Linked DNA regions of Lepisosteus oculatus. The protein of the gene in region 3 purifies or fractionates together with the protein of the main gene of each other region. This does not show direct contact. Links are inferred from orthologs where the notes say so. Each region holds a gene or a part of one and is shown on either strand. Other genes may lie near its edges.

Region 1 (8,046 bases), on a different chromosome or scaffold from region 3:
TGGGTGCTACAGCAGAGCTCCACTTAGTGTTGCAACTACAAGTCCAGAACCCCTGAGGATAATATAGTGGAAATTGAGCATTGTCCACACTGAACAATGACGATGATGACACCAATCAGTGTAACATACCAATACAGTGAATCATTTGCTTGTTCGCAGAAGCTGTTTTTGGAATGTGAAATATGTGGTGTAGATTAATACTTCCTTTCCAATCTGAATTTTTTTTCCCTCTATGTTTTCTGCTATCTCTGTAGATAAACATACTATGCTTGGATATTTGAAATAGGAGGGTAAAGCTTTCGGCAATCAGTGGAATCCATTGTCAAATGCACTTGCAGGCGAGGAATGAAGAATCCGAAACATTAAGTGATTAAATCGGGGCAATGAGAAAAATCAAAGCCCTCACTTTCTGTACTGACGCAGATTTGTATGGCAATTCTAGCAGCATAGCATCTAACAGTACATGATCACTTCATCACAGTTGTTCTCTGCATGCTGAAACAATTTGTACCACACACGTTAGCGCTCCTAGGTTACGTCAACGGTTAATAAATAATTGTATTTACTGTATAATGTTCTTTCATGTGCTGATAAACAGACACTACAAAGCACACATTTAATCTTGGTTTCTGGTAATAAAAAAATGGTCAGGTAAATAAATGTATCAAATGCATCATAAGCAAAGGTTACAAACAAGATGAGGTTGCTAATAGCTTATTGATCAAAGGATCTCAGACAGCCATTACGTGAAGAATAAAAATAATGTTACATAGGCATAGTGCATTTGATCTCATAGGATGCCAGGGTGCTTCATAGTGTATAGAAGGAGACCCACTTCATCTACCACTGAATGAAATGGATCTCCTTCTATATGTGATGGACCTTTGGATCAGTATCTTGTGCTGAAGTGCAGCACCTGTACTGGGATATGTACTGTACAGCACCCATCATATACTGTACCAGAAGCCCAGTTGAATCAGTTGAATTAAGGAGACCTTTAGGGACACCGGGCTGTGCAGGAACAGAGGGGAATCCAACCATCACCTTGGAGTTCACAATCCTACTCTTCTGAAAAATGGCAAAGGATCCTTGATGGCCAAGTATTAAGGACACCTGTTTAACATCTCTTTCAGAGGATGGTACCTCCAACAGCCTGGTGACAGGGGGTGTACAGTACTTTAACTAAATTTCAGGAGGCTTGTACCAGAATCCTGCAGCTTGAAAAAAAAAACCCATCTACATGTACTGGAATATTAGATGAATCAATTGATTTGAAAAGAAATGGCTCTCAAACGTAGAGTTTCCTTTACGTCACTTGAATAGTGACACAAAGAAATCATGCTTAATAATCCTGACAGGATTGTTGTTGGCTTGATTACAACTGCACTTGTACTCATTTATATTTCAGTAGATTTATCAAAACGCTGAACCTTTATCGGAGTATAAAAGTATTCTATTAAAATAAGAAGTATTCTAAACCTTCTCTTCACAGTCCTGAATTTAATCCTTGCTTTAACTCTTAAATTAATTGTATATTTACACTAAGGTTACTGGACACATAGCAGTGGTTCCTGTGTTAACAAATGACACCATGACCTTCAATATTGGTTGAGATGGAAAGGAGGCAGATCCTTCCTTTTCTGGAGGATCTGTTCTGAACTGAACCAATTAAAACTTCAGCCAGGCCCCAGAGTAGCTGTCTGTATCATCTGAGTAAATAAACTATGAGAAGAATGGCTCTCTGGAGCTCTTTTCCTGGTAAATTCCAGTGTAAACATTTTCAGAGAATGTAAAAGATAACTAAGCACAATCTTCCTAGAAATATCATGACAGACACTTAAAACCAATCATTTTCTTAATTAATTGAAAAGTGATTGAATTATTGAGGTAAGAATGATAAATACACTACATTAGTCTAAATATTTATATTTGCTAAATTCAAAAGACAAATCACCAGAAGACAGAAGCATGCTGAAACCCTTTCTAGCACAATGCTGAAGGAGCAAGAGAAGAATTTCATGATACAACAAAGAAGTGTTTATTCGTTCAGTCACAAGCACTGTAATAGTGCAAGCTAACAGCCCGCTTTTTGACTCTCTAATGTTTAAGAGCTATGCATGATTCAGCCCTAACAAATTTAAGTCGTTTTAAAGCTATTCAGTTTCTGGCAAAAACAGGAGAAAAAGAGAATCCCACTGCTCCAGTGTTTTTCCACACCACTGTAATGTTTGCTATTTGTGTTTGGCAGAGCCTTCCATGGCCCTTCTGATATAAATGCTGCAGAGTTTAGAAGAGTTTCCTCCTCCAGCATGGCCAGTCTCGTGTGGTTGCATTTTAATAAGTGCAAAGACGTGGCATCCAAAGGCTCACTTTAAGAATTGAATTACTGTTTTACTTGTCCAGCATTTGAACTCGACACCACATAGTGTGAGATGGTGTAATGAGTTATAACAAGCCCAATAAATATGCCAGCACCTATGTCACCTTGCAACTCACAAATGGCAACTCACAAACTCACTGAAGTTAGCGCATGTGAGCCTGGCCAGTATCTGGATGGGAGGCTCCTGGGACAGCTGAGGTTGTGGCTGGAAGAGGTGTCAGTGGGACCAGTAGGGGGAGCTCACCCTGAGGTCTGTGTGGGTTCTAATGCCCCAGTATAGGTGACGGGAACACTATACTGTAAAAACAGCACTGTCCTTTGGATGAGACATAAAACCAAGGTCCTGACTCTGCGTAGTCATTAAAAATCCCAGAGAGTGAAAAGAGCAGGTTGGTAACCCTGGTGCCCTGGTCAAATCCACCTTGACCTTTACCAGTCACGGCTCTGTTCTCCTGCCCACTGAGAGCTGGTGTGTGTTGAGTGTTTACTGGCGAACTATGGCTGTGTCACATCATCCAGGTGGGGCTGCATAATAGTGGTGGTGGAGGGGAGTGTCCAGAAAAGCTCTATTATTATTATTATTATTATTATTATTATTATTATACATCAAGGTGAAATGGCACTGAAACTGCTGCTTAGTTTGCCCAGCATATTATTTTCAGGTCAGTTATCAGCTGTTGATATGTTTATCCTAGTTTCTGGCTTTTTGCTGTTGTTCTTTTTCTATTTTGAAATTGCTTTGGGTTCATATTCTCCCAGTTGAAATCTCAGAAATCGCTCTTCCCACAGATTTGTAAATGTAAAGTTCCAAAAAAAACAGGAGGTTTTTACAGAGAAATGAAGTGTTTTTGTAGAGTGACATTAAATGAGGGATAATGACAAATCCAGTTTAACAATGCCCTTCCTGTGTCCTGGCATTTTATCAATTAATGTTTTATCTTATTTCCAGACTCGTAGATATTGCTTTTACACTTCTCAAGGAGTCCTTAGTCGACCTCAAACCAGAAAGCCAGTCCGTGTTACTTTTGGAACTTAATATACCAGTAATAAAAGTGGAAAGTCAGCGGATGACAGAGTTTTAGGTATGCTGTTAAAAAAGCTTCAAAACTCAGGTTTTAGCATTTTTACATTTCCTAATCCCAGTTGTGTTCATCAGGAGCTTTGTCATTGTCCGAGCATGTATGAAAGTGCTGTCAGATCTTGCACCGTGCTTGTGCTACTACACGTGTACATTGAAGTGGTAAGAAAATATTATGGTGGCAGAGGATGTTTTTTATTTTGTCAAAATAACCTTATGATTGCTATGCCAATAAACTTTATTAGGTGTTAATGTCCCAAAGGAAACTTCCCAGCAATAAATCAAGGGCTGATTTAAAGGCCAACAAAAACAGGCTGCCGTCTGCAAGGTGCTGAAGCTGAGGAAGTAAAGGCAGCAGATGACAGGCTTCCCTAAGGCTGATCATTACACATTACACGCTTTACAAGCACCCACAGTGTGCATACAAAATGTTTCACAAATGTTTATTGTGGTATGCTATGGTAAAAGCATGGTAAAACAGTTGTAAAATTGGGGGTACTGCAAATTAAAGTAAAGTAAATGCATGCAATGTCCTTGGGTATTGTCACGGATCGTATTTACTGTGGCTAACCCCTTTAACAAAAAATTAGATTGTGATATGAGATATTTACTCTGTAAATGACAATATGAACTGTACAATTTAAAGTATTTTTATATCACGGCAACTGAAGAAGAACATCTGTAGGCAACCGTTAAAAAAATGTGGAACCTGTAAGTATTTAAGTACAAAGGGTTTATTGTTGTTAGTTACCTAGAGACGTGTCATTGACGACCAGCAAAGGTTTTTCTTAACGATATTAAAATAAACTGACACGGGCTCCTAAACATTAAAAACATGTGTGAAAACCCAACTCTCTTTTGTGCCAAAGCCATGGGATATTTGGCCACAAAATAACTAAAAATAAAATCATAATTTTATGGTCCTGTCAGAATGTTCTACGTTGCATCATTAACGCAGGAGAACTGGAAAACAACGATTTGCTTTAAGTTAAAGCACGCATATGGCACCAACATGGTCCACATACACCTGCTTTTTAAGACGCCGCTTGCTTTAGCATTTAACTTGTACTAAACAACATGCAGCTGCTAATGACTTGCTAAATAATTGAAGTCATCCTTTCACTAAAGAAATGTTATTTTGCTCGCCAAAACATTTCCATGTCCTGTCAATGCCCCAACGACACCACATTTTTACGGCAGCCTTCAATTTAAACCAAAGTACTTTTAAAAAAAGATTTTAAGGTTGGCCAGCGCAGATATTCCAGAAAAGGAAGCAATTAGTCTTGCCTACTGTAATTACATCTTGCGTTTCCAGCAGGAAACGTTGTTTTAACAAATCAATGCACAGCTAAAAACTACCCTAGTATTCTTAACGTTTGCGCTTATTTACAAAATGTGACTGTGATCGCTAAGTGTTTTTTACATTTGTGGAGGACGGCGGGTTGCATTTCCTTTTTCTGCAGAGCCTGTGATTATACAGCACGAATTTGTGTTTGTAAACCCAGACGGCCCACGCCCATACAGGATCACTTACAGCACACGCAGGCGCACTGCCCTTACTTGTGTCAAACATGGCTGTGCTTTTGGAGAAAGAAAAATGCTGAATTGTCTTGGTAGAGGTCGTAAATCGAACCAAACATGGCGAGGCTGGTTGATTATTTCATTGTCGTGGGATACGATCATGAAAAGACTGGTGAGTTTTCGAAAAACGCAATTCTTTACGTCCTGGAAACACCGGACTGCTCTTGCGAAGGGGGGATTCCTCAGGCCGTGCAAGTCAGTGGGTTAATAGGATACTGTGGTATCCAGATTGGATGCTTTGGCACTACGTTACAGTGTATTGTGTTTTGTTTTTAAGAGGGGTTTGTTTGTTATTGCTCAGTGCTGTAAAATGTAACTGTACACCGCAGGCAGGAGGAAGAAAAAATTGTAAATATAGTTTTTTTTTCTCTTCTTTTTAAGTAAATGAAACTTTACTGGAACAATTCAGCCTGTCACATCCTGAATGAGTAATGAATGACGTGCAGAGATTATGTTTAACAACGCTTGGAATTGACCATAGTAAGACAATAGTGTCTGTGCTTACTAAAGCCCATTCTTGGTAAAACAAGTAATGTACGAAATGGAATTTCAGTCCTTACGTTTTCTAAATACAGTTACTTGTATGCCCACCTACTGATTCGAGGATCTAGGACTGGTATAGCGATAACAAAATAAAAAAAAATGATCCTCTATAATTTGAGCAAGGTACTGTATATAGCTAAATTGACATATATTTAGTCGTGAATTGGGTGCATTTTTTTAATTTTGAATGTCTTTCTTTGTGATTCATTTTAAATGCTTTGCTCAGCATTGTATTTGCAACCATCATTGCCTACTGCATCTTGCGGATCATTTAAAATGATCTTCACGGCCCAATAGGTTTTAGTTGACTGAACTGGGCATGTTGGCATCGTGTAAATACATAGATTAAAATATCGTTGGCGTTTTGGTAGAGGATCGTTCTATAATTTTGGAAACGTTTCCTGTTTTGTGCAAGGTAGCCACTCTTTTCTGTGAACAAAGACGAAAACAGGTACAGTATGGAGGAAAAAAAACAGGTAGCAAGGCCACAGGTGTTTCCAGTGTCATTAGCTAACGGTTTCTGGATTGCTGATTAGATCAAGCATGATTTACCTACAAAACAATAATAAACCACACACAGGCTTTCACACATTCACTGAAAAGCAGAATCCGGAGAAGCGTGCACCCCAAATCTTATGTGCTCTGGCGTTTTTATGTAATCGTCTTAAAGAGCATGATCTTATAATCATGGACACGCATGACACTTGCTTGCAGAAGTCATCTGTCGGTGTTAATGGGTTGTGGCGATGGAGATGCATGACAGAACCTTTGTAAACTTAACTGTCGGGATTCCCTAGGATAGTTAATGTGAAGCACCGGTGCCCGCGGGGAGTTTAGGATAGGAATTGCTGAGGTCAGATTGGAGCAAATTCAATTGTCACGGTTTTTTTGCTGTTAGTTTTAAAGTCTGCCCTGAGTGGTTTGCCCCTGGTTTGACTGATGAATCAGTTTTGCGTCGTGTCCAAGCTCTCTTTAATTTTACAATCTAAACACACCGTTAAGAGTTTGACATAAAATACTGTAACACGAACTGTTAGGGAATTAAATCATCGGTGATTAAAAAGCACTGCCTGTTGTTTGGGGGGGGGGGGGGGGTTATTATGATATTAGATTTTTTTTCTTTTGTAAACAAGAACAGCAACATTGAAGCAATGCATTTTTATTAACACATCGCCGTGTCAATTTCTTAAGAGGTTGTATTTGTGTGTGATCTAAATCCCAATAGTTCTGTTAACTACCATGCAGGCATAATATACAATATCTGGCATTCCTTGTCTACGTACTGCACGTTTGACATTTTTTCTTTATCTGGTTTTAAGTGAATTTGACAGGATGTGGTAGAACTCTTGAGGTTTCAGCGTAACAGTCAGAAGTAGCTGTGGGTGTTATAGAATCTTTTTGTGGTTTTAAATGTGTCACATTTTTTTAGATAACCTTAATATTCATATAGGAAACAAACACCTGTACTTTTATGCTATTGTTGCTGAACGTTAAGAAACCTCCAGTTTATAAAACTGTTTTGATGATTTACATGGCACCATTTAAAACTAGAAGGCAAACCTAAGCACAGCACACCTAATCTAGACATAAAAATAGCTGTATCTGCAGCTCTGCAGATGCAGTTAAGCATTTATAGTAATTCCATTTGCCTATAGCCAAATGCCCCTGCTGGAACTACAGGAATCTGTCCTAAGATGCAGAAGAATTGTAAAAGAAGGAATCCAAGTAAAGGAGTTTTTTTGATTAACCGGAATCAGCAAGTTGAAATTCCAAAGTGAGATTATAGCAAATTAAAACCCCTCAGTGTCACATAAAAATTAAACCCATTTCACTTTTGGATTAAATCTTAGTTCTTCTGTGTGAAGTGCTTTCGGATCGTTTGGGATCAAAAGCACTTTACAAATGCAAGGAATCAAGGAATTATTATTATTATTATTATTATTATTATTATAGTCCACAGGTATTTTTTCAATAATATTTAAATAATATGGTGGTGTGTTACGTGTGAAAAAAAGTGGGAATTTAAAGGTTAATTGTTCTTTCCAAGTGTGTTTGTTTAATCTCAGTGTTTCTTAGTGCCCCCTTCCTCAGTCTTTCTTTCATGCTCAACAGAAGCCATGCAGAATAAAAACCCTCATCAGTTATTCTTTGTTGAACCATTACAACCATAATCAGAAATGACCGGGTACATCTGAACAAAATGGTCATTGTTACTGGATTACAGTAATCCATTTCAAAGTTTGAATACTGTACATGGGTCAAGTGGATTTAGGAACAAGTCTTGTTCTTGTCACTGATAGCTAAAGTACTGCAATAAAAAGAGCAGTTTGCTTTTTGGTCGTTCCTTGTGGCACATCAAACAGCCTTTTGCCTTGGAGGATGTTTTTTTCTCCCTCCCTAGGAAAGAGGAAACAAGTACTTAACTGAGAAAATGAAAGCTGAAAGCACAAAGTAAATGCAACAG
Region 2 (8,014 bases), on a different chromosome or scaffold from region 3:
TCCCCTGCCTGCAGTCATGAGTAACTGCAAGCTGAGACATGAAAAAAAACTGATTGGCTATTCCAAACCAGAGGACAGAGGGGGGTAATAATAACAATTTGCTATTCTCAATTAGTTAAAAAACGCTGATAACACATTTAATTTCACATTGTACCTCCTTTGACTGATTAAGCCAGGAACAACCCTCACAGTACACAGTAAGCCAGTAGCCATATCACTCTGCAACTTACAACTGGTAACCCACTGAAGTTAAGCAGGTGTGAGCCTGGTCAGTACCTGGATGAGAGACCTCCTGGGAAAAACTAAGGTTGCTGCTGGAGGAGGTGTTAGTGGGGCCAGCAGGGGGTGCTCACTCTGCGGTCCATTTGGGTCCTAATGCCCCAGCATAGTGATGGGGACACTGTACTGTATACTGTAGCCATTAAAAATCCCAGGGTGTTTCTCGAAAAGAGAAGGGGTGTAACTCTGGCGTCAATCATGTCCTCTTATAATCCCCATCTATGAATTGGGTTCATTACTCTGCTCTCCTCCCCACTGATAGTTGATGTGTGGTGAGCGTTCTGGCGCACTATGGCTGCCGTCTCATGATCCAGGTGGATGCTGCACATTGGTGGTAGTGGAGGGGAGTTTCCACTTTGAGTGGAGTGTCCAGAAAAGCGCTATATAAGTGTAAGCAATTATTATTAATTATTAAATAGCAGGATCAATAAATAAATTTGATATAATTAAATTTATATTAAATTAAATTTATATTAAATTGTCTTTTTAATATAAAGAAAATTGATTCTTTATTAAATAACTGAGCTACAGTAGTTAATATTCCCTGAAGGGGAATAGAGGTTATAAGTGAAACCACGTCCATCCGCAGAGGAAAAAAAAACTACCTGGTGCTCAAACAGGTTTTCTTTATCGAGTGGGTGTAAAAAAAAGTAAAAAAAAAAGTTCTATATTTTTTTCAAAAGGAGAGACTTGAAGCACAATGAAGTTCAAAGCACCCTTTATGTCCCCATATACTGTATGGCATGACAATCTCCCCTTTTCTGTCCCAGATAACAAAAACCTTTATCTAGCATTTCTAAATTCCTCTCAATATGCTCAGGGTCGATGTCATACCCTGAATGCACAAGTAAGGAAAAATAAACTCTTTTTAAGAAAACAATGCACCGAGAATGAATTCATTTCCTGCGTTTTCACTGGGCAGACTTTTTGTTTTTGGCAGCACATCCTTAGAGTCTGAGTTACTGATTAGGCCTAAAAAATGATTAAAAACTTGCAATGTCCCTGCCAACACGAGGACCAGAGTGGATGGGGAACTCCTCTGTTGAACGTTGCGACTATATTGAGAATTTCTCGAGAACAGAAGAAATGAAACATATACCCTCCAACACAGGTTACATGTTCATAAGACAAAGATCAGGTACATACACTGCTAATTATTTTCAGTCATTTAGCAGAACTGCAAAGGACACCCAGGACCTTCACAAGTCACATTTTAAAAAATTAAACCATAATATTTCTATCTCAAGTTCTGATTGAACAGGATTATTTACAGATCTCAAACATTCAACTTTCGGGAAATGGAGGTTTTTAATCCCATGACTACAAATACAATCTCACCACTCATTAAGAGCCCGTTTTACAGAGCATGCTCTTCAATTGAGTAAAGGGTGCCAGAGTGGAGTAGTGGTTAGGGTTCTTGGTTACTGCCCAGAACATTTTTGAGCTTCAAACAACTTACCATAAGTAAAATACACTCGATTTCTTTCCTCTATCAATTATATTTACTATTACTGTGTAGGTCAAGTCTTAAACACTCTTAACTACTAAATGAACATAATTACATAACATAATAGAATGAATCTACCACACTTTAACAAACCGCAGGAAAGTATCCGACCAAAGCCATGATAATCACATTTATGAGAATTCGCGTCCTCTTCTCCTGAACCCTTAAAAGATATGAATAAGAAACTGGTTTATTTCCATGAAGAATCTCTCGACCTACTTCCTTGAGAAACTTCCTATAGAAATGCTCGAATTCTGTGGAAATATTTTCCCTTAAGGTTAAACAACGTGAAAAATCTCTATACTTGTCCTTGAATAAGTATACACTAATTAAGGCTCCGCAACGCACGCAGAACATACAGAAAAACACAGTACAAAAATTCAGTTGCAAAAAAAAGTTTCCTTTTTACATTACGGTTTCACTGTACAACTTTACTGTACGTCCGGCTCACAACGAGAGAGACTAGTCAATCCCAAATTAAATACAAATATCACGTTTACACAGCCAGACGCTCAAGTCATCTTTACACTATCCAACTTCATGATGACACAGTACAACCTGATTAACATTTTAATATTTAGGTTATGGGGGCATTTAATGTCTACAATTATACAATAATTTCAGTTTAACCTTACCTAAAAGATCTACAGTTGCGGTCATAAAGAGAGAACAGCACAAGGATAAACTAATTCACATTTTTATAAAAAGTATTAGATTAGGTAGTTTACAGTACGTATAGCCATGCAGTTTGACAAAAGCCATGTTGTGAGCAAACATCAAAACATGAGGGAAGTAACCTACTCTTGGGTTATTACGGGCGATGTATCCCTGAGCTTTATATTTTGAATTTCGATATCGTAACTTTGAGTGCAGGTCTCAGTTTTTCTTAAAAAAACAACTGGCAGATGGTAACTTTATAATGCAGCCCCGCGCAAAAGTAGAATTTAACTATAATAAAATATCAATAAGACGAACGTTGTCTTATTTTGCCTCCCTTACAATCACATTTACAAATACAATCTAGATACACGTATTTTTAAAGAATAAATGCATACCTCCGGGGTGACATATGAAACAAACGAAGGCTTTGAAGATTTTACACCTCCGCTTCCCAAACCCAACATGTTGATAACTTTGAGGAAATCTGTTCTCTTCAGCCAGGTGTAACCCTGGCCAAACACAGGAATAACCTGTACCGTGCTCAAACCGCGCCCCTCCAGCTGTCACATTGGCTGCCTCGCTTGAGAGAACACTCCATTTTGCCATAGGGGCCACACTAGGTCGCGTACAGCTATTGGGTAGAAAAAGCGTCAATTATTTCAGCTGGACAGCCCCTTCTGTGCAGAAAACTTCCTTTTTTCCATATAGGGCGAACCTACTGTTACAATTGTTCTAATCGCAGAATTGCTTTTGTATCACTCACTCTGCTACGTAATCTTTCATTTTCCTTCGCTAGATAGGTAGCATTCCTCCTCCTCTGTTCTCGAAAGGGCTATTACGTTGAGAATCTGCGCTGGGGAATATCAACAGACAAAACGCCCTAAAGCGGTCTCAAGTAAATTCGGAGAAACAGTTGTGCCAAACCGGACGAGTAGCTCAAGACTCAAAAACAGCTTATGTCTGACAAGTTTTTCGCCAGAGTTTACATTTCATTATAAAGAAGGACTCAGGGATAAATGTAGTTTTATACTTAAACAAGTAAAAATAATTTAAAAATTCCTTTCGCATCCGGTGAACGGTATGTAAAGTACCATTTCAGGAATTTATATTTCCTCTAAGTGCAAAAGGAGCTGATAAGCACATATTATCACGGCGACATTTCTTGCCATTTATGCGGAATGTAATTAACAAAATGTATTTCCAATATAATACATTAAAATGGAAAATAAAAGAACGTTAATAAACATGGTTACAATATTTGGTATATTTCATAACTTTAGCTGTATGTCTATTTTAAAAACATTATTTTTGTCTTAGACTTGGTGATGTGTTTTTTAAAGTATTGCATTGTTAAAAAATGTGGAAACAAAAATCCTAGGGCTGTAGACTTTTCGTTTCTGAAAATAACCAATTAAATCATATATTTAAAAACAAACATCTGAAAATTTGTTTGCAAAAAAGTGGAGGCCAGACAGTGCACTTACATCATTCTTACAAAATATAAGGTGATGTAAGGTAAATTAGAGGCCCATTCTTTCATTCTAAGGTGAACTATCTATATACAAGTATGTTTTAATGGCAGATAAGCATATCTCAAAGGTTACTGTTGTTTTTTTTGTTTTCTCTGAGTTCAAGTAGTCCTAGAAACCTTGTTAAAAACACTGCAATATTTTCAAATCTCCATTCTCTGTCTATTGTAAAATTTAATTTAGCATAAGGAATTCTCTGTGATGGACTGGCAACACGTCTGGGGCGTAAATCTTCTTACGCCTGTTGCTTGCTGGGATAGGACCTGACTCCCGCGCAACCCTGTACTGGATGGAAGTGGTTTGAAAATAGGAGGATGGGTCAGGAATTCCTGTGAGGTAAGGGTCCAATTATTATGTCCCAAAATGAATTAAATATATGAACTTGAATACAGATTGTTACTTTCTTCTTGATATAATAATAATAATAATAATTAATAATAATATAAACTTTATTTTATATAGTGCCTTTAAAGGTGGCTTCTCAAAGTGATTTACAGGATGACAAGAACAATAAATAAGAAGAATACACAAGATAAAACACAATTACTATATATAGAGGAGACTGTGGATGGTGGTACTAAGAAAAGCAGAGGGGTGAAGAATGGAACCAGTTAAGGCAAGTAAAGGCTTTTCTGAAGAAGAGGGTTTTGAGTCTGGATTTGAAGGAGTTTAGAGAATGTGGCATAACAGGAGATATGCCTTTATTACATATAAGGCCTCTAGAAACTCTCCAGCTCTCTTTTAATCGTGCATGTAATTATGTGGCTGTTTATTGTTTATCTGTTAACGTGGAGTTAATTTATCTTATTGATTTACCAGCCCTTAGTTTGGTTTCTGGATTGATCAGAAGCTTCCCCAGCACCTGTCCCAGATGAGTTGGATAAAAATGTGTACAAGAATGTACTTTATGATATTGATTTGGCTATATCATACTCTCAAGGTCATTAGTGCATAGGGAAGTTTAAAAAAATAAGGTCATAAGGCTGCCTTAAAAGCTTCAGGATGTCCAGAATTATGCAGCTTGTGTACTGAATACTTTGTATCACTAAGTAACTCCTATACTAAATAAATTGCTTACATATAAAGCATAATCACTCAATAAATCAGACAAGAAAGTCAAAAGCGTAACTTTTGTGTTTCTTTCATGCTTATAGTTCAACTCCTAATCTGAAATTTGCTGATTCAGGTTTTCTAACTCTGGTGTTGTAAGGTAGAGACTTCTCGAAAGACCAAAATCCTTCTCTGAAATATACTTTTCAGCCTTTTCTTGAAAGACGTGAGGGAATCAGCCTCAATAACATCTCAGTAGCTTGTTTCACACATCCTCGACTCTTATTTTTCTCCTGGGTAAAAGCTTGTGTTCTTTTTTAAATTCACTTTCAGGTGGTTTCCACCTGTGTCCTCTGGTTCATACAGGAGTTCACTGTTAATTCTCAAGAAGCCATATGGGTTGACTACTGTATGTCAATGCCTTTGTAGATTTGAACATTTGTCCCATCATAGTCATCTCTGTCTAAAGACTAAAAGGACATTTCTTTAAGCCCAGAAATGTGTCTGGTTGTTCTTTATCTGGAGAAAGCAACAAAATCTCTTTTTATAACACGGTCCTTAAAAGTGAGCACAATATTTTAAAGGAAGTCATAATAGTGATGTACAATTTTGCATACCATGCCTTGATTTAAATTCTATGATTTTCCCAGTATCTCCCATTTACCTTTTTATTTGCTTCTCCGCATTATCTCAAAGTCAACATACTGTAAACAATTAAGTCTTTTAGAAGTAATTTACCCAGGTTTAATATTTTGTATTGAAGAAATATATATAATGAATAACTATAAAGCTATAGTTTATGTTTTTTTCTAGTACTCTGTATTTTAAATGTTATGTTTTTGGTGTTTTTTGAGTCTTGAATTATTTTTAAATCTTAAATGTTTGAATTTCCGTTTCAAGGTCTACTGCAATTGTTAATCCTTTTGTTTCTTGTATCATTTGCAAATGTCACATGTTTGTTAACTGTATTAGAATACAGATCACGTATATAAATTAGGAAGAGCTGTGGTCCTAATACAGACGCCTGTTGTACTCCACTAATTGCATCTCTCCAATTTGAGCATTCTGTCCTTGTCTGTGAGATGGAAAATGTTTTAGGGTGCAAGTACCCCTCGCAAGAAGAGGAAAGTGGTCTGAGATTTGTTTACTGGAGTCCGTGAGCAGTGGAACCCTTACCCCTTACCCCTTGCCCCCTTGAATGGCGAATACAGGCAAGCCTTCTTCTCTTCTCAGGGCTGGGGACGTCTGGTACTACTGCAGGCTGTCTTGAAGAAGTCATGGGGCACTCCAGTCCCGCCACAGCAACTTCAACTCCACGCTATTCTGAATGCTTTTCAATTGCCTCAAACCAGTGACGAGCAAGACCCCTGCCCCTTTCACACAATATCCAAAGGTCGTGGCAGTTTTATAGGGCACCCGATCTCCCAATGCACCGCCACATTGCTTGTGCTGCAGGGTTGGGTTCTAACGCATTAATGACTCTCTTTTCTTCTCCAAAGTGTCCCAGGATGTTTGGACAGCACTCAGGTTTTGTACCGTAATTTCCATCTTTGGCCAGAATTTGTCCATTGAGCAGTTTAAAAAAAACACCCCTAAACTAAGCTGGCATTTTAACCTCAATACTTTCAACCCAACCAATACCCACATTTGCATATACTTACATTAACAAATCACTAATTAACCCCATCTGAGAATGCTGTCATGGCTCTAACCGGTAATATAATAACAGACCATGAAAAGCTATTTTATCATTTTTTAGGCCCTTTGGAGGCCTCTAGTGGCAGGTCTGTTGATACTGCTTCCCCTCTATAGACCATCCTACCACAAAAACCTTTTCTTAACCTGCGTTGTATATCCCCCAGGATCCTACTTCCACATTGATTATCCTTTATTTTAATACTAATTATCATTTCCATAATGTTGTGCATAACAGAATTTTTCACTTTTGTTACCATTTTAATGAATGGGCCTATCATTAGCAATTTCTCAGTTAATGGGTACTGAATTACCACGGTCTTCAGTGACTTAAGAACTGCATCTCTTGTTTTCTTAAATATAATTGGTAGAATACCATAAGACCCTGGAGATATATTCATCTTAAGAGCTTCTATTACCAACAGCACATCTGACGCATCTGCTAGTATTATTTGATATCGAGCTTTGTCCCATATCCTGAAAAAAATGTTGATTTCTTCTTGGTGAACATTACATCAATTTGTATTGCTTTTAAGCTCTGTTTCATTCCTTCATCACCTGGTTTTCTGAAACAAACTTGATTTTTACTCTGCTAATAAAATGTGACCTGTAAGTGACATTCTCTTAATGCCTTGTCATATCCACCCAATGTGGCATGGATTTTCTTTTTGCAACTGCCATTGTTATTGACCTTGTTTAATTTTTACATTTCCTTTGTTTCAGAGTAAATACTTCATGAAATATCCTTCTGCAGACAGCTATTTGACCTCTGAGAATTCTGTATTTTATCAACCCACAAAAATACTCTTTGTAATGAGATCTTGAATGTTGCTGCTCTTGTTGCACCCAAATAAAAGGAAACATGATACAATGGTTATATCCACAAGGTTCAGCTATGAGTTATTACAAACAATTGTTTTATTAAACGAAACACGTACAAGGAAATGGCCGATAGTGGATGTGTTGCCATCTGGTAGATCCAGAATTCCTCTGCTGCTGGAAAAAGTCACAGCAGCATGAAGCTCTGCAGTAAGAATTATGTTGTGTTAGTCAATGGAAAAGACTTTGAATCGGCTAAAAGGAGACAAAATAGTTGGAAAGGTGGAACACAAGCCAGACCAAATGGGAAAAACAAGTCTGCATCACAAAATAAAAATAAGTGTTATCACCATTGCAAAACAATTTCCCACTGGTCTAGTAGAATGGCTTGTCAACTTTCTTGCAAACTGATTTTTCCAAATTAGTTTTATATGTTCAGTTTCCTACCTGTAATTTTACAAAAAACAAGGTTTGT
Region 3 (7,083 bases):
GGGTCATAGCTGGTTACTAAAAAGAACAGAGAACTGGAAACACTTCTTTACACATTTGTGAGTGTGTGGAACAGTAGTACCAGCCAGGTAGTTGAGCTGCGGGCTTCTCTATGGAAGATGGATTAAACTGTATATTCCCATAGCTACTAACAAACAAGCTAAATGGTTTTCTGTCTTCTATTCTTATGTTTATGTATGGAAACACAGAAAAACAAAAGTTTATAAAAAAGAGCCAATCTTACCCGATCCATGCATTTGAAAAACAGTCTGTAGTTAGTAACAGTTAGCGTTCCTCTTATGGCACCAATAAAGGGACAGATATAAGTGACATCTTTAGCTGCAAAGTAAAGGAGCACAAAGCAGGATATAATAAGGACTTGAACAACGTAATGTGTAAAATCTCAACAAGAAATGAAACAGGAATTTCAAAACATATAAGTGAAGACACCCAAGAAGGACTTGTAGTGAAGCACATAAAAGGTATAGAATTCGCAGAGGCAATCATGAACTAGCACATCAGCCCATGTTAGAAAGAAAATATGGGCTTTTTTACTAGTATACTAATACAAAAAACAGAGGTAACATGCTAATAAATGTTGAGTAAGAGAGATCAAAGGCATTTTCATTACCAATTGCAAAGCAATTCATTACCAGTTCTAAGTCACCATCTTTAAAAGATGTCCAAATTGAAGGCTACCCACTGGAAGACCTACCCATATCCTGTATTGATTCCTTTGGTAGTAACTGAGGTTCTTCCAGTTGAGCCAATTTACTAGCCTCTCTTAGCACCTATTGTCAAAACAAGAGCGCTGTCATTCACAAAGCTTGCATGCCACACGTTGAGAGCATAAAGCAAAAGCAGACGAACACTGTCCCAAAGAAGGTATTCTAAAAACCATTCTAAAAAATTTACTTTAGGATCTCAACGCATTAAAATCACGAAACAAGCAGCATCAAGGCAGAGTTTAGAAAATGTACCATTACCACTGACCAGCACGTTCAACATCACAATACCACCACATTAAGAGGACAGACTAAGAAATAGTAAAGACTTAGCAATGTGTAACACTTACAAAGTGTGTGATTTACACGCGGTGAGTAATCCCCAATTTAAATGGCTCCATTCATTTACTTAAATTGCACAAAACTCATATATTACAAAGCATTATGTATCTCTAGCATAAGGTGTGTGTCCCTATAGGAAGGAGGCAGGTGGCTGAAAACAGTGAAATTCAGTAATAACTATAATGTCCAATTAATATAGTTAAATATTCCTGTATTTGGAAGACTGGTATCATTGGCTTCATGTGCCAGGACATGAGACCTATGACTTTCAGTTCTGAGAATTTCAGAACTGGAACATTCCAGATTGTTTCAGAACCACTTCTTAGACCTTAGACAGCAAAGAGTCAAAATGAACCACTGAGTGCTTTACCTTGACCTCCAGAAAGCTTTTACCCTGTTGAGAAAACAAAAAAGTCTGTAAATCTAAAAGAAACGATGAGAATATCAGCATAAAAATATCAAACAATCATGAGTGTTGACTTGTAAGACTTAAAGTGCTACTTGACCTTTTATGCCTAGAAACCTAAAGCCTGAAACCAGATTTAATGACAATAATATTACCTTTGAAATTTCATTACAATACTAAAAGTACATTGAATTTTCTGCACTTGTAATACAAAAAGGTTTTTGTCTACTGGATTTGGAAATCCTATTACGAGTCTCCCTTTAAACATCCTGAACATGCAAGGCTGAACAATTTATATATTTGTTACACAATAAAGGCAGAAAATTACAATTACAAGACTTGCAGCAATTCCTCTAAGTAGCTCAAAGTATTTCATTTATTTTCAGCCTACAGCAGAACAACACAAAAAAAAGTAAAAAAAGAATAAAGATTCAAAGAAAAAAAAGAAGCGATGTGAATGAAAAAAGCTGATTAACAAGACCTTCCATAAAGGTCCTCATGAACTTTCCCTCCCCCTGACTTTCGGGGAGTGTACACACGAGTACCTCTCAGCAATATACTGTACACACCCGGTGCTCTGGTGAGAGCTCTGCAGAAGTGGACACGGAGTCGGACGAAAGAGTCAGGGGCTGCTTTGTGTGAGAAGAACGATCTGAGCGAGAGGTGGACGTGCTGCGGGTACAAGACACCAGTGTCCAAATCCAGCGATTTATTGAGTAAAAAATAAAAGACCCCCCCTTACAATTTTTTTTAAAATCTGCAGTTGTGAAGCAATAACCATTGCGGCAACACTAGAACTACACCACCACTACAAAGGGCCTCTACAGTGTAGAGCGTTCTGAAAGACAAATTGTGAAACTTTTAATAACAATATTAATATTAAGAAATGACAACAATCCTCACATTAAGCACTGCTCTTTAAAAAAAACGCCCAGAAGTTCCTTTACATGTTTTTAAAAATATTTAATTATAGCTTTTCGATTTTTCGGACTAACTGTGGCGACAGATTTCAATTTTCGGGACCAGCCAAACTAAAAGGGCTTTTAACTCATTTTACTTCTCATTAAAAAAATAAGGAAGATTACTCAAAATGTCACAGTGCAGAGAACGTTATTTTCGCGCAGACGATTAGCCTGTGGAAGTGAAGATGTACTGTAATGATTTATCCAAGTTGACAGTAATTGCGGTGAGCGCGATGCTACAGCTACCGTAACGAACAGAACAACATCTGGAAATCTCAGAAATGAGCATTGCAATGGTTTATTTTCAGTACGGTTAAATACAATTTAAGTGTTCCAGAAGGATAACAGCTGTTATTACAGACTATGACATTGCAAAAACAATCTGTACGTAGCTGAGCTCCCCCACCTGGATAATGAATCCACACTGGGCTGCCTGGAGGACGGTTTGGATCCGAGGCTATCGGTGCTTCCACTCTTTTCCATGTCTTTTATGTTTCGTTATGATCTCTGAATACAATGCCAAACTAGAGAACAGAACGAAATTCAAGTAACAGAAATATAAGAAAGAAATAAAATTAAAGAACAGAATGGACCCTAGCACAGCAGAAAGCTGTAATGCAGACAGGAAGCTGCCATATTTACCCAGAGTGCCTGGAAAAGTGAGGGGTGGGGATTGTTTACATCCCAGAAAAAGGGAATCGAAATTAGGAGCTCTGTGTAACTGAGTTGTGTTGGTACAGTGTAGTGGTACTGCAGTTACTGATAACAAACGTGTTGTTTTGTAGGCTTTAACAAACACTGTATTTCTGGTTGGTTTTTGTTCGTATTTTAAATAATAAAAGTTACTGTATTTGTATTGTATGGAGCAAATGAAAAACCGCCTCGTTTGTCTTAATCATGCTTACTGTATACTGTAGTTTTCGTATAAATACTGTAGTACGCAAGTCACTTATTTTCGAAGATGTAAAATTAATGCGAAATTGGCATACAATTTAATATTATAAAATTGCTACATTTAGAAATGTATGATTTCTTTGCAGTATTTTAAAACCGACTTTGCATTTCTAACCTGTTTCTTCCACGGAAAAAAAACATCCGTACACTAAACTTGAAGCTTCTTGCAATTTTTTAATGTAACCTAGGAAAGTGTTCGGTGTAGTTCATCAGGGCACTGTACTCCACTGGCACTGGGGAGAATCTCATGTATTTGGAATGCTTTATAAGACGTTCTGTTGGGAAACTACATTATACTTAATTATTAATAGTATAATAATAAAAATAATAATAATCTATTATAGTTACAAATACTTGTGTGGCTTTCACCAGATTCTTACAAATTAAAGTTAATAAAAAGTCATGAGAAAAAAGAAAGATGTGACATATATGTGTATAAGTCATTATTACTGTATCTTTTAATTAATATATTAATTTGAAAATTGTTAAATGTTTACAAATGAGGTTTTGAAACAATGACAATGTACCTATTAAACCCAGTAATACATGCGCTGAGCTGTTTAAAACAGGTTTTCTGACTTTTCAGAAACAGGTTATAACATGTGGCAGGACCCCATATTGACCAATAGTATACAACTAAACTGCACTATACTATATATTAAAATACAATAGTTAAATAAAAAAACAATATTCTTTATATCCTTGCTTTCCGATTACTCATTTCCATTTCCATGGTGATTTTAGATAACTAAGAGACACCGCAGATATCAAAGTCAAATGTCCCTAAGTTTAAACCATTTAAACAATAATAATAATTTTGTAGTATTCGGTCAGAAATAAAATATTTGGATTCACTTACCTTGCTGGTGTAACTATTTTATACTTAATGTAATATAATACTTAATCTGATAAGGATAATGTACCCTTTAATACCAGTTAGGTCCATTACCATTATAAATCAATTTCTAGAACATTTGTCAAGAACATCATATTTCATTTAAACAGGATGACAAAAAGCCTCAAAATTACAGTATGTCTCCTCATGAAGAAGTTATGTTCCCTGTATTAAGATAGAACTATTCAAAACCTGTCAGTTTAAGCCAGGACCAAATGACCTTAGATTGCAAGACAGAGATCAGAGACTGAGCTTCGTGGTTCATATGACATGGAGAAGGCAATTTCAATCTGTCTTCAGGTAGCATAATAATAATAATAATAATAATAATAATAATAATAATAATAATAATAATAATAATAATGGCTTACGTTTATATAGCCCTTTTCTGGACATTCCACTCAAAGCACTTTACAGGTAATGGGGACTCCCCTCCACCACCACCAATGTGCAACATCCATAAAACAATTCAATAACAACAGAACCCTAGGAATAATCTAATCTGATTGATCTATTCCATCTATTCTAATCTACCCCTGTATTATGTAAAAAGAGCCCAGAAAGAGGCTATAAACTGCAGGTAGACAGACTACTTGTGAGGTCTGTAAATAACATCAAAATATTTAACTATTAAATACATCAAATAGCTTCTGCTTATGCATTGTACATTGCTATGTATGAATATGCATTTGTCATTTGCTCCAAATACTGAATTTGTATGAAGCAGTAGGCAACAGAAACTAAATATTGGCATAACAATCACAGCATTGCTTCACATTAACATATAAAGATTTAAAGTATAGTGGGGTATACTGTGCTGATTCCTGGCCTCCAAAAATTGTGAGTTAGTGGAAAAAAATAAGTTAAATACATTGAATCAATGCAGGGTTCATACAAATAAAACTAGATTATATTCTTGCTGGGATAGGCTCCAACTCCACCATAAGCCAGAATTGCAAGATGTGGATAGAAAATGGACAGATACTTATACCAAGATGTGTTTGTGTTTACCACTGCAGGCAAAACAAGACATTTTCATAACCCTAGGTTTTGAGCAAGAAAACAATGGGGTGCCATCTCTCACCTGCTAATGCATCAGTTTTGACAAAGTCCGTCATACCTATTGATAATTCATGTTGATTACACACAGACACCCATTGTTATCAATGTTATTGTCTTGTTTCGATCTACAGTAGATATGGAGTGCTTGTCACAATGACAGCATGAAAATGTACCGTAGGAACACTTCGTGAAAACGAAATTTCACAGGCAAGGCTGAAGAGCTGTCCATGGTGCTGAAGTTTTGTAAAACTACCAGTGTGCAGAGCAGTACTATTGAATTTAACTGTTTGGGGGAGGGATAAGTAAATCGATTCCATTCCATGATTTCTTAATCCTAGTAAAGTGCTGGGAGAGTGGCCACTGAATAAAGAAGAAAGAAAATGGTTCTCTAGTAATGCTTAGATCATCAGTGTACTTTGCTCTTCTAACTCTGCTGCAGTAATACCTAATGTCTTAAGTCATTTATCTCTCCCTACACCTTCTCTCATGCTCTCTGCATTTTCTCTTTAACCACAACTATACTCCCAGTATTCCTGGTACTTTATACTCCCCTCTCTGCTTTTCCTCAGTGGTGGAATGACCTACCCACTGAAATCTCAGCTCAGTCTCTGGGGGCACTGCCATCATAATTCCTTTTCCTTAAAAAGATCATGCTTCACTTTGAGGATTCAAGGGGAGCAATGTGGATTTTAAAACTCGGAAATCGATTTTACTGGAGTCTTTGTAGGTTATATCCTTCTTACTGGAGGTTTGGAAGTGATAAGCTAATGATGATCATAATAAGCGGGTACAAAATTCTGCATGTGGGAAAAATACATTTAAAACTCTAATAAGTATGCTCTCTTACAATAAGTTAGCATTATTTGAAAACCAATATAATTCACAAACCCAGGATACATATACTGCATAGTATAGGTACAATAACAGCTTGCAAAATTGCATGTAATGATGTTAACGATGACACACAAATTTAATTTAATGTAATCTTCAAGGTTAACTACTGCTTAGTAAATTAAAACTCTATATGGAATCCTTCAAAAGGCTATTTCTCTCGCTTCTGTAAAGAACTGTATGAAGATGGTGTTGGGGTGAAATTTTGACAGAAGGACAAGTATTTGCTAACATAAACTAAACAACTCTAACCTTTTTTAATTTATTAAAAAGAAGGGGAAGGACACAGCTTTGTTCAATGTATGAAATTTATTTAGATAAAAATTCATTTGCCTCTGCCTTTGTTCTGTCTCAGAAGACATGTATCCCACAGCTTGTGCACCTCTCTGAGAATGTAGTCCTTAACATGGCAATGAAATGATCCAATACAGACTCCCTTTACAGTATCTACAGAGATATGTACAAATGACAACACAAGGACAGAGAAAAAAGAAATTTACAACTTATGCAGTTATATAACTAAATCACGTGTTTTCTTTTTTATTTGGCTGCTTCTTTAAGATAAAGTTTAATTAAATCCAATCTGGAGACAACCCTGAAGCAAATCTTTCTTGTGGGTTTCTGAAATGCTTCTATTCCGTCAGGAACTCAAGTGGGATACAAAATTATGCCACCCAAATACATCTATTAAAAAAGGCTACACCTCACATAAAAACAGTGTTCTTAATTCCATGTTTTATGACAGGTTACCATATTTGAATATTTTCAGGTAAACAAAACATTAAGAAAATTCTGAAATAATTGACATTCACTTCAAGCACTTACAAATTTATACAATGAGTAAATTC

Evidence for each region.
Region 1: the proteins of mtmr2 (region 3) and sbf2 purify together in Homo sapiens (affinity purification with mass spectrometry; 3 studies listed by BioGRID and IntAct, with this or other methods). This does not show direct contact. The link is inferred for Lepisosteus oculatus from reciprocal best matches to the Homo sapiens genes MTMR2 and SBF2.
Region 2: the proteins of mtmr2 (region 3) and mtmr12 purify together in Homo sapiens (affinity purification with mass spectrometry; 5 studies listed by BioGRID and IntAct, with this or other methods). This does not show direct contact. The link is inferred for Lepisosteus oculatus from reciprocal best matches to the Homo sapiens genes MTMR2 and MTMR12.

The regions. Positions count from the first base shown.
Region 1 is NC_090716.1:9,379,331-9,387,376, forward strand, and holds the start of sbf2 (myotubularin-related protein 13), read left to right. Parts: upstream 1-4,984; 5' UTR 4,985-5,096; coding exon 5,097-5,151; intron 5,152-8,046. UniProt on the Homo sapiens protein: Guanine nucleotide exchange factor (GEF) which activates RAB21 and possibly RAB28. Promotes the exchange of GDP to GTP, converting inactive GDP-bound Rab proteins into their active GTP-bound form.
Region 2 is NC_090698.1:39,906,990-39,915,003, forward strand, and holds the start of mtmr12 (myotubularin-related protein 12), read right to left. Parts: upstream 3,035-8,014; 5' UTR 2,911-3,034; coding exon 2,842-2,910; intron 1-2,841. UniProt on the Homo sapiens protein: Acts as an adapter for the myotubularin-related phosphatases. Regulates phosphatase MTM1 protein stability and possibly its intracellular location. By stabilizing MTM1 protein levels, required for skeletal muscle maintenance but not for myogenesis.
Region 3 is NC_090700.1:12,220,489-12,227,571, forward strand, and holds the start of mtmr2 (myotubularin-related protein 2), read right to left. Parts: upstream 3,095-7,083; 5' UTR 2,917-3,094; coding exon 2,840-2,916; intron 2,144-2,839; coding exon 2,041-2,143; intron 1,460-2,040; coding exon 1,436-1,459; intron 790-1,435; coding exon 714-789; intron 338-713; coding exon 243-337; intron 1-242. UniProt on the Homo sapiens protein: Lipid phosphatase that specifically dephosphorylates the D-3 position of phosphatidylinositol 3-phosphate and phosphatidylinositol 3,5-bisphosphate, generating phosphatidylinositol and phosphatidylinositol 5-phosphate.